2 linked regions of the Bombyx mori genome follow. The protein of the gene in region 1 interacts with the protein of each later gene in a biochemical or structural test. Links are inferred from orthologs where the notes say so. Each region holds a gene or a part of one and is shown in the gene's direction. Other genes may lie near its edges.

The links.
Region 2: the proteins of flap endonuclease 1 (region 1) and checkpoint protein HUS1 form a complex in vitro, tested with the Homo sapiens proteins (2 studies listed by BioGRID). The link is inferred for Bombyx mori from reciprocal best matches to the Homo sapiens genes FEN1 and HUS1.

What each region holds. Positions count from the first base shown.
Region 1 is NC_085126.1:8,812,864-8,817,517, forward strand, and holds the end of flap endonuclease 1, read left to right. Parts: intron 1-988; coding exon 989-1,207; intron 1,208-2,154; coding exon 2,155-2,304; intron 2,305-3,074; coding exon 3,075-3,182; 3' UTR 3,183-3,897; downstream 3,898-4,654. Other genes in the region: glucose-6-phosphate isomerase, read right to left, coding at 4,431-4,618. UniProt on the Homo sapiens protein: Structure-specific nuclease with 5'-flap endonuclease and 5'-3' exonuclease activities involved in DNA replication and repair.
Region 2 is NC_085134.1:9,690,401-9,695,054, forward strand, and holds the start of checkpoint protein HUS1, read left to right. Parts: upstream 1-1,835; 5' UTR 1,836-2,053; coding exon 2,054-2,105; intron 2,106-2,158; exon of another isoform or gene 2,159-2,172; coding exon 2,173-2,379; intron 2,380-3,682; coding exon 3,683-3,783; intron 3,784-4,654. Other genes in the region: myb transcription factor, read right to left, coding at 147-169. UniProt on the Homo sapiens protein: Component of the 9-1-1 cell-cycle checkpoint response complex that plays a major role in DNA repair. The 9-1-1 complex is recruited to DNA lesion upon damage by the RAD17-replication factor C (RFC) clamp loader complex.

The sequences.
Region 1 (4,654 bases):
CCGTCCGTCTCAGTCAGTGAGTCTCTGGCAGTCAGTCAGTCGGTCTGTCGCTATGTGGAACGAAACTGTCGGTTTACCCTGTCATTGTGAAAGTTGTGTGTTTTGAGTTTCAATAATTATTATTCAAAAGTTTTATTGACTAAACTGAGTTCAATCGAATACAAGTGATGACGGAAACAACCGCTTAGCCATCCCTGGCGCTGCGCCGACATATAGATAATTATTACATCTAATTAGCGTTATATATGTGCCACAATGTCAAACCTCTAAACAGTTCCCTCTAAAAATTTCAAATGCATTGTTGTTAAATAATCGGTGAGTTTAATCACATATTTTACAAGAGTGCTACAATAGTCTGGATTTATATAGACAGCTACATTAGATACTAACTGGAAGAGGTGGAGGTTGTGGCATCAAGACTTTTTTTTTATATTATTACGTTTCACATCTGAGGAGTGAAAGGTTATTTATTGGTTTAAGTGACATTTTTGTAACATTACAAGAGAGCCATTGAGAGTTTATAATTTGGAAAAAAAACATAACATTAAAACTTATTGAGCTATTTCAATGAAGTAAACTTAATTTAAGTTCAATTTAAAACATTGAACTGTTGATGATAATACCAAATAAAAGCCACCTTTAATTACAAAGATAAATGTCGTGCATTAAGGGAAATGTCCCTTAAACTATATATAGCTATATAACTATACTTGAGACCACCGCCCCACCTATTTCTGCCGTGAAGCAGTATTGCGTTTGGGTTTGAAGGGTGGGGCAGCCGTTGTAACTGAGACCTTAGAACTTGTATCTCAAGGTGGGTGGCGCATTTACGTTGTGGATGTCTATGGGCTCCAGTAACCACTTAACACCAGGTGGGCTGTGAGCTCGTCCACCCATCTAAGCAATAAAAAATAAAATAGCCTTGATCCCTCAATATTTTGATTTACAAAACTACTCTGGAATAATAATGATGGAACTGTTGTTACAGTTTATTGACCTCTGCATACTCCTTGGCTGTGATTACTGTGGTTCCATTAGAGGGGTTGGCCCAAAACGAGCCATCGACCTCATAAGACAACATCGGACACTGGATGAAGTACTCAAGAATATAGACACTGAGAAGTACCAACCTCCCACTGACTGGGATTACGAGCGAGCTAGGAGTCTGTTCATGGAACCTGAAGTCGCTGACCCTAAAGACATTGAGGTATGAATTTTTATTTTAAAACTTGAGCCCTAGTATACCATTTTTGCTGGAAGTAAGGAGTATTAATAGCCTACAACAATTAATCTGCTTTGTGGTAGCTATCACTGTCTGTATACATAATATGCTAGGAAATATTGTGCCCCAAGATACTGTTGAGTCTATATCGGGCAAGGATTTTTTTTATTTTTTATTTATTGCCTGGATGTGTGGATGAGCTCACCTGGTGCTAAGTGGTTACTGGAACCCATAGACATCTACAACGTAAATGCACCACACACCTTGAGATATAAGTTCTAAGGTCTCAGTATAGTTACAACGGCTGCTCCACCCTTCAAACCGAAATGCATTACTGCTTCACGGCAGAAATAGGCAGGGTGGTGGTACTTACCCGTGCGGACTCACAAGAGGTCCTACCACCAGTAAGATTACCAGGATTAATAAGACACGTGTTTCGCTAAGTGACTAACGTATATTGGGATTACAACGTAACGTGCTATCGACAGCCCGACAATCCCGAAACTGACGTAGCATAATTGCAATGTAATAATTTTTTTTTTTTTTTTAAATAATTAAATAAATAAATATTTACTAACAATCACGCCACGTTAACTGGTCCCGTGATAAGTTCATAAAGAACTTGTGTTACAGGTACCAGATAACGGATATAAATGTAAGATTTTTATTATACACATACATATATTTAATATACATCCATAACCCTGGAAAAGACATTTACATTTATCATACAAATATCTTCCCTTGGCGGGATTCGAACCCGCGACCCCCTTGTGTAGTGACCATGTCACTTACCACTACACCAGACGGCCGTTTAATTACAGCTAACACATACATATAATTATTAGTTGCTATGGGGACATTTGTGGTCCCTACAACACTTCAACAAATGAATTTTATTCATAAAGATAATTTTAATTCTAAATTAACAGCTGAAATGGACTGATCCCGATGAAGAGGGCCTCGTGAAGTTTCTGTGTGGGGACAGACAGTTCAATGAAGAACGAGTGAGGAATGGAGCTAAGAAGTTAATTAAAGCCAGGACGGGCACCACACAGGCCAGATTAGATGGGTTCTTCACGGTATTTACAGTTCAATTTTGTATTACGTTTCGTCATATGTGATACTTGGAAGCTTATTGCTATATATCGGTAATGAGCCACAAATATCTACATACATTTTATAAGGAACCTGTAAGCTTATTTGCTTCCTCCTCCAAAATAAATTACCGGATTCATCTTTCTTAACTCTTGGGTTTCATATACAGGGTGTATAGAGATTGTTCCCAAAGACATAACGTAATTGACAAGCTTTTTTGTTTTCTAAATAATTTTAATAGGATAGTGTAACAGGCATGTAATGCAAGTAACATTAGTAAAGCCTAATTTTTTACATGCAGTATTTTTATATCACCGATCTACCACCATTAGACATGAGGTAAAAATATGAATTGTAGCAGAAGAGCCGGAACTTAAGTACCTACCGGTGGAGACTTCATACCAGTAATATTCAATTATAAATCTATATATATATATGTATATAAAAATGAATCGCTGTTCGTTAGTCTCGCTAAAACTCGAGAACGGCAGGACCGATTTGGTTAATTTTGGTCTTGAATTATTTGTGGAAGTTCAGAGAAAGTTTAAAAGGTAGATAAATATGAAAATGCTCGGAATTAAATAAAAATAACAATTTTGTTTTCCCTTTGATGTGTCCCCCGTCGGACGGATTCCTTTTGTTTGTTTTAAGTTTATTTTATACAAAAGTTTAAGTCTTTTATAGGCATTACGGGTCTGCCGGATCAGCTAATTACATTTAAAAATATGTACATATATGTTCATGCTATCAACAGTTAACGACAACGCCTAATTCGAAACGTAAAGCTGAAGAGGACAAGAAGAATTCAGCAAAGAAGAAAACTAAGACCGGAGGTGGAGGACGCGGTCGGAAACCGAAATGATTATGTGAGTCAATTAATATCTATGTACGGATAGATTCCTCGAACTAAAATAAACAGTTGTCAAAGCCGATAATGGGTTAATGTACCTTTTCTGAAAAACAAAACAATAATCATTTGTAAATCAAAGTTGTGTAGATATAAAATTTCGATACATATTCGAAGTTCATCGCGCAAGGGAAATTTTTTAATAAAAAGTTGCCTCTAACCACATCATATGAAAGACTGGTGTTGGCCATGTACCCTGTCTATTTCTGCCGTGAAGCAGTAATGCGTTTCGGTTTGAAGGGTGAAGCAGCCGTTGTAACTATACTGAGACCTTAGAACTTATATCTCACGGTGTGTGGCGCATTTACGTTGTAGATGTCTATGGGCTCCAGTAACCACTTAACACCAGGTGGGCTGTGAGCTCGTCCACTCATCTATGGAATTAAAAAAAATAAAAAATTGGCTGATACACAAGTTCATCGACCTCCTGTGACGCGTTGAATTACCTTCACTTTACATTCCAGTCCACTAAATAATCTATAAATCTTTTAAAACAACAAGCATAAACTTATACTTATAACTATATATTTCAAATAATTATTGTTGTATATTTACATTAAATACAGCAATTTGTATTCCCATTTCGGCTTTAAGAACACATGTATCTATGTATCATCCTGTAATTCTAAGACATGATTGAATTGAATAAAACTATTGTGTTTTTTTTAAATATCTTTTTTAATTATCCTTACTAAAATAATTTAACAAAATAATATATTTAAAAAAATATATGCAAACAAGACCTCAAACATTGTTCTTTGTTCAAAACTAACGAATATCAGTCGTTATGATTATTGATGATGTTTTATATTGTGCACAATTAAGAACTAAGAACTTTTAATTCCGGCAAATACATATGTGAGTCGTCTATTATCAAAGGTGGCAACCTGTGCATTTGGCCAAAAAAATGTTATTGATATGTCAATACAGATTGATTTGAATATAATCGTCTCCTTCAAAGAATACGGTTCAAAACCTGCATTAAATAAAGGTTAATACTTAACCTGTGATTTATCTAGGATGTCGTTCAGAAGAGTTTTGTGACTGCCAATGGAATACAAAGTCAATAATTCGTTTTTCTGATTTACCAATAATTGTCCAAAAGTCACATTGCCGGCTTTGATAATAGTCGACTCATGTCTCGATTACACATATAACCACCAAAGCAAATTAAACTATGTGTGACGTCATTCTACTATAATCTCAAAAGTTCTTCTTGAGGAAGTTAATGAGTCCATTCGTGGAAGCGTCGTGGCCGGTCACAGCTGCAGTCCCCTGCAGCTCAGGCTCGATTGCCTTGGCCAATTGCTTGCCGAGTTCAACTCCCCATTGATCGTATGAATTGATATCCCAGATCACACCTTGCGTGAAGATCTTGTGTTCGTACATGGCTGCAAGATAAAAATATATGTAATCATTGTAATTGA
Region 2 (4,654 bases), on another chromosome or scaffold:
TCTAATAAGAACAAATAATGCTTATTTATAACTCAAACTTATGTTATATCGGTTACATTTGGCGACTACGACGATCTTTTAGTGCATTTATAAGTAATTACGTGTATTCCACATCCGTGTGACGACATTATCGATCGCAAACATACCTTGACCGTTCATTATTCTCCATAAATTCTTCTGATTAAACAAATATTTAACAAAACAAAGGTCGTGAATCTAAAGTTAAAAAATAAATAATACGTGTAATTGAATCAAAATAGTTTGAATTGCACAATAATTTGATAAAAATAAATAAAAACTTTTTAAGTCATAGTATAACCACAATTCGTTAGTTTTCGTTACACTCAAAATGGAACATCGCTTACCTTTTTTCGCATACCGTAAAACTCTCGTGCAAGATAGAGACAAATACCTAACCGTAAACAGAAACTTGTCAACATGGATGACATGTTAGCGCCATCTACCTTCAAGACCAGTGACGTTTGTACTCTATGGTCAAAGCTGCCAGATCGCAAAGGAATGGATTCGACTAAATCAAGTTCAAATCATCATCATTCAATCATCAAAAGATACATTTATTAAAAATAATTATCAGTTGAATACATCTAAAATATTCTATTCAACTGATAATTACTTCGAACCAACCATTATTAAAAACGCGATTATTATTATTTAGTCCGCAAATGACCCATGGTACAATGATTCAAGTACCGACAGTCATAATGGTCTGTTAATGCCTTCAGGATGCTGTTAGGGCTGACCCGGACCCGGCGAATCAGGGATGTGCATCTTTTCCGCATGGTCTTAAAGAATCAATCGACTCGTGCTTCGGCGAACATTATAACATTATAACAAGTAGGTACCACCACCCTGCCTATTTTCTGCGGTGAAATCGTAATGCGTTTCGGTTTTGTATTGTGGGGCAGCCATTATAACTATACTTGGGATCTTAGAACTTATATCTCAAGGTGGGTGCATTTACGTTGTCCTTGGGCTCCAGTAACCACTTAACACCAGGTGGGCTGTGAGCTCGTCTATCCATCTAAGCAATAAAGGCTGAATCTTGTTAACAACATTTTCAAGATAAATTTGCATAGATACGAGTTTCGAACCACAACATTAGAACCGTTAGTCTACCGAGCAATTTTATCCGCTCGGTGTAAGATCTTACCTTTTTTGTTAACACCCAAACTACTAAACTCTGTGATAGAGACAGTTACATGTAAATGTATGCACCTATACCTACATATTAAATATTTATCATCGCCAATATTAACACACATTCTTTACAATAGAACGAATTTTGTATCAAACTTCGTCTCACGCTGAAAAGATACTCTGATCTTTTCTTTTAGGTGCTTCCGGCTCACGTAGTATATCCTATACGTACAGATGTAGCAGATTCAGACTGGCGTAAACGAGAGTTTTCTTCTTTAACAGAAGATGATCAACAAAAACGGTAGAAATATCCTAATATTTTCTTACGAGCATCATTCTACATTTAGGGACTAAATCAATTGGCTCTGTAAGATACCTTAAGCACACATTCCGAAAAACTTTAATTAGCTAAAAGTCTCTGTTATTTAAAACACCGTTTAGCAAGAATGTTTAAAATTACAAATTGAATATTGTAGGAGCATTCTTGTCAAAGATCAAAGCCATTACTTATTTCTCGGCTTTCTTAACAGTTTCATCGGGGTATCTCATTATTATTAGTTCACAGAAACTACAGCTGGATAGCCTTCGTTACTTATTCTCAATGAACCAAAATGTTTGCATCATGAAATCACCTTTGCACTTTAAGTCGATTTCAATACTGATAAGAGTTTTTGTGCAGTTGCAATACTAGCCAAATCTATATTGTCAATGCTCACTCAATTTTCGCGCTGCCTAAGTTTTGAAAACAACACAGTATTGGAAAAATAAAACATAAATTACATGTCGAAACTGTGTTTAGTTACTAATTATTATATATCTTAAAATAGTGTGCAATTCATCATCTCATTTTGCACGAATTAAACAACTGTTTTCAAAAGACGAAAAACATATCACTATGAAATTCCGTGCTGTTATGAATAACTCTTCTCCAATACGCGAATTCTCAAGTAAAACTCCGCTTTAATGGTGTTGCTTACTAGTTTTTGATTATTGTAACCAGAATTTTGTTTTCAGCTATTGTTAGTACAATATCAAAACTGTCTAAGGAGTGTGTCCTAAGGATAGCAGACGATATGTTGTATTTCATTGTCAGCGATGAAAACACTGGACCAGCCCCTCCGGTACTATGGTGTGAAATACCACAAAGTGTATTTTTCTCTGAATATCAATTGGTTGGAATGGATGAAACTCACCAAGACATTTATTTAGGATTGAATTCGGGTATTATAATTTCCATTAAAAAGTGCTATGATAAAATAAATAAATTATTCTTGGTGAATATTTCCAATATCAAATGTTTAGATATTGATAATCATTGATATTAACTTAATAGCCATTAAGTTTAAAAAAGTGGTGATCTTCATTCAGGTACATCTTAAATAAATAATAAATTGTTGTTTTCCCAATACCATTTAAAGTTTCATGGTGTCTAGAAATATATAAAATAAAAAAATTTAAAATATAAAGAGTGGAAAAATTTTAGGACTAGCTGACCTTAAGCTTATGCTTAAGATGCCAGACTTCCAGACCCTTAGGGGTTATAATCAGATATTAGAAATCATTGTTTACTTGCACTCCAAAATGTTTTAAATGATAATCATGCAATATTAATAGCTTAAACCTCTTTTCACATGTATTTATATTTTGCCTAGCATTCTTTGTTTAATACACTGTTCAACATAGAGAAAATTAAATAACAATAAACATAAGAGACAATTGAACACAAATGTAATTTAAGTGTTTGGCATGGTTAGGTTGTGTGTGTTAGGTGTTATCTGTAAGATTTTGGTGTTTGTGTGTAGGAATTAGCAGTTTATAAACAGTTCTGAAACTGTTCGTTTTTTATGACAATGTGTTGCACTTTTTTTTTACTTAGATGGGTGGACCAGTTAAGTGGTTACTGGAGCCCATAGACATCCACAATGTAAATGCGTCACCCACCTTGAGATATAACTTCTAAGGTCTCAAGTATAGTTACAACGGCTGGCCAGCCCTTCAAACCGAAACGCATTACTGCTTCACGGCAGAAATAGGCAGGGCGGTGGTACCTACCCGTGCGGACTCACAAGAGGTCCTACCACCAGTGTACTTAAAGTAAAATAATCAACAGTATCTTAGATACTTATTTATATTGAATACTTGAGGACTGTTAGATCGTTTTCCAAGTTATCATAGTTAGTTCTTGTAACCAATCCATCAATTTCATTATGCATCATTTAGTTTAGTTTGCCAAATCACAAAAAACCCTTGATTTTCCTGTAACAACCACCCCTATAGCAAAGTATCAATAACAATGCTTTAAAAATAAATATTACAGACAGACAGACAAAAAATCATGTTACTGTGCAGTAAATTACTATAAGGAATGTTGAATTTTAATGTGTTCCTTTTTTATTGCTAATAAACAGAATCATGGCCCCTCTAAAGCCCATCATCATTCGTGAATATCAGTAATACTAGGAGCATGGCTGTGGCAGATAGCAAAATTGTAAAATGCCGTAATACAACTTACTGTAATTTTCAGGTAATCTCGCAAGATCTTTTGTCTCCTTGAAAAATGTAAAATCATTAAAAATGAAGTTAACAAAGAAACAGTGTCCGTGCCTAACATTGGAAATTGAAGTGGTATGCTTTTAATAAATAGCACCTGTTCACTTATGACTTGGTTAATGTAGACCTAGGAATGACCTTAATAAAATGAAGCCCCACGGATTTGTTAATATGTAACACATTAGAAATCTTGAGTCTTCTAATTGTTGCCTTTATCCCGTAGTGTAGAGGACCTATTCATTCATGTCAGCATGTCCTCTTTCTCTATTCAGACCTATCATACGTTATCTCTGCACTCACACCCTTCTCTCACATGTGCTCTTTCACGCAGTCCATCCAAGTGTTATTAGGCGGTCCCTCATTAGAAATGTTCACTATTAATATTTATTTAGTAACTAGTGAAATTAAATCGCCCTCTGCCGGTACTATTCTTAATTGATTTCCACCTAGTTGATTTATATTCTAAATACTATTGCAAGTTTCATAAGATGTAGAATGTAAGAATGTGTAAAAAACATGCATTCATTTTTATTGAAATCAAAGACTACACTAATGTTGTAAGTATCAAGTTCCAGTATAGTGCTTATTTCGATTTTTAAACAATCAAACGCACCCCCGCCTTTGGATTAAAATTTGTCAATACTATTTGAAAGTGTTGTGTTTATTCACAGTGCATTTGCAGAGATATTTTCCACATACCATCTGGTTCTGCAATTAACTCACCCCTTTCCTTAGCGCTATGACATGTGCTTCTTCAAACAAGGCTTACAAAGAGTACTTAGCGGTTGCAACTTGGCTGTGCCTCTGGCATTGCTGACATTGCTTCATGTATGAGGGCAACTACTCCCCATCAGGTGTCCACAAGCCTGTCTGTTTACAAAGGCCATAAAAAACGCTGCATTGCTATTTGCATCTTGTTAGTCTTCAGTCGTGTCTAATAAAATCA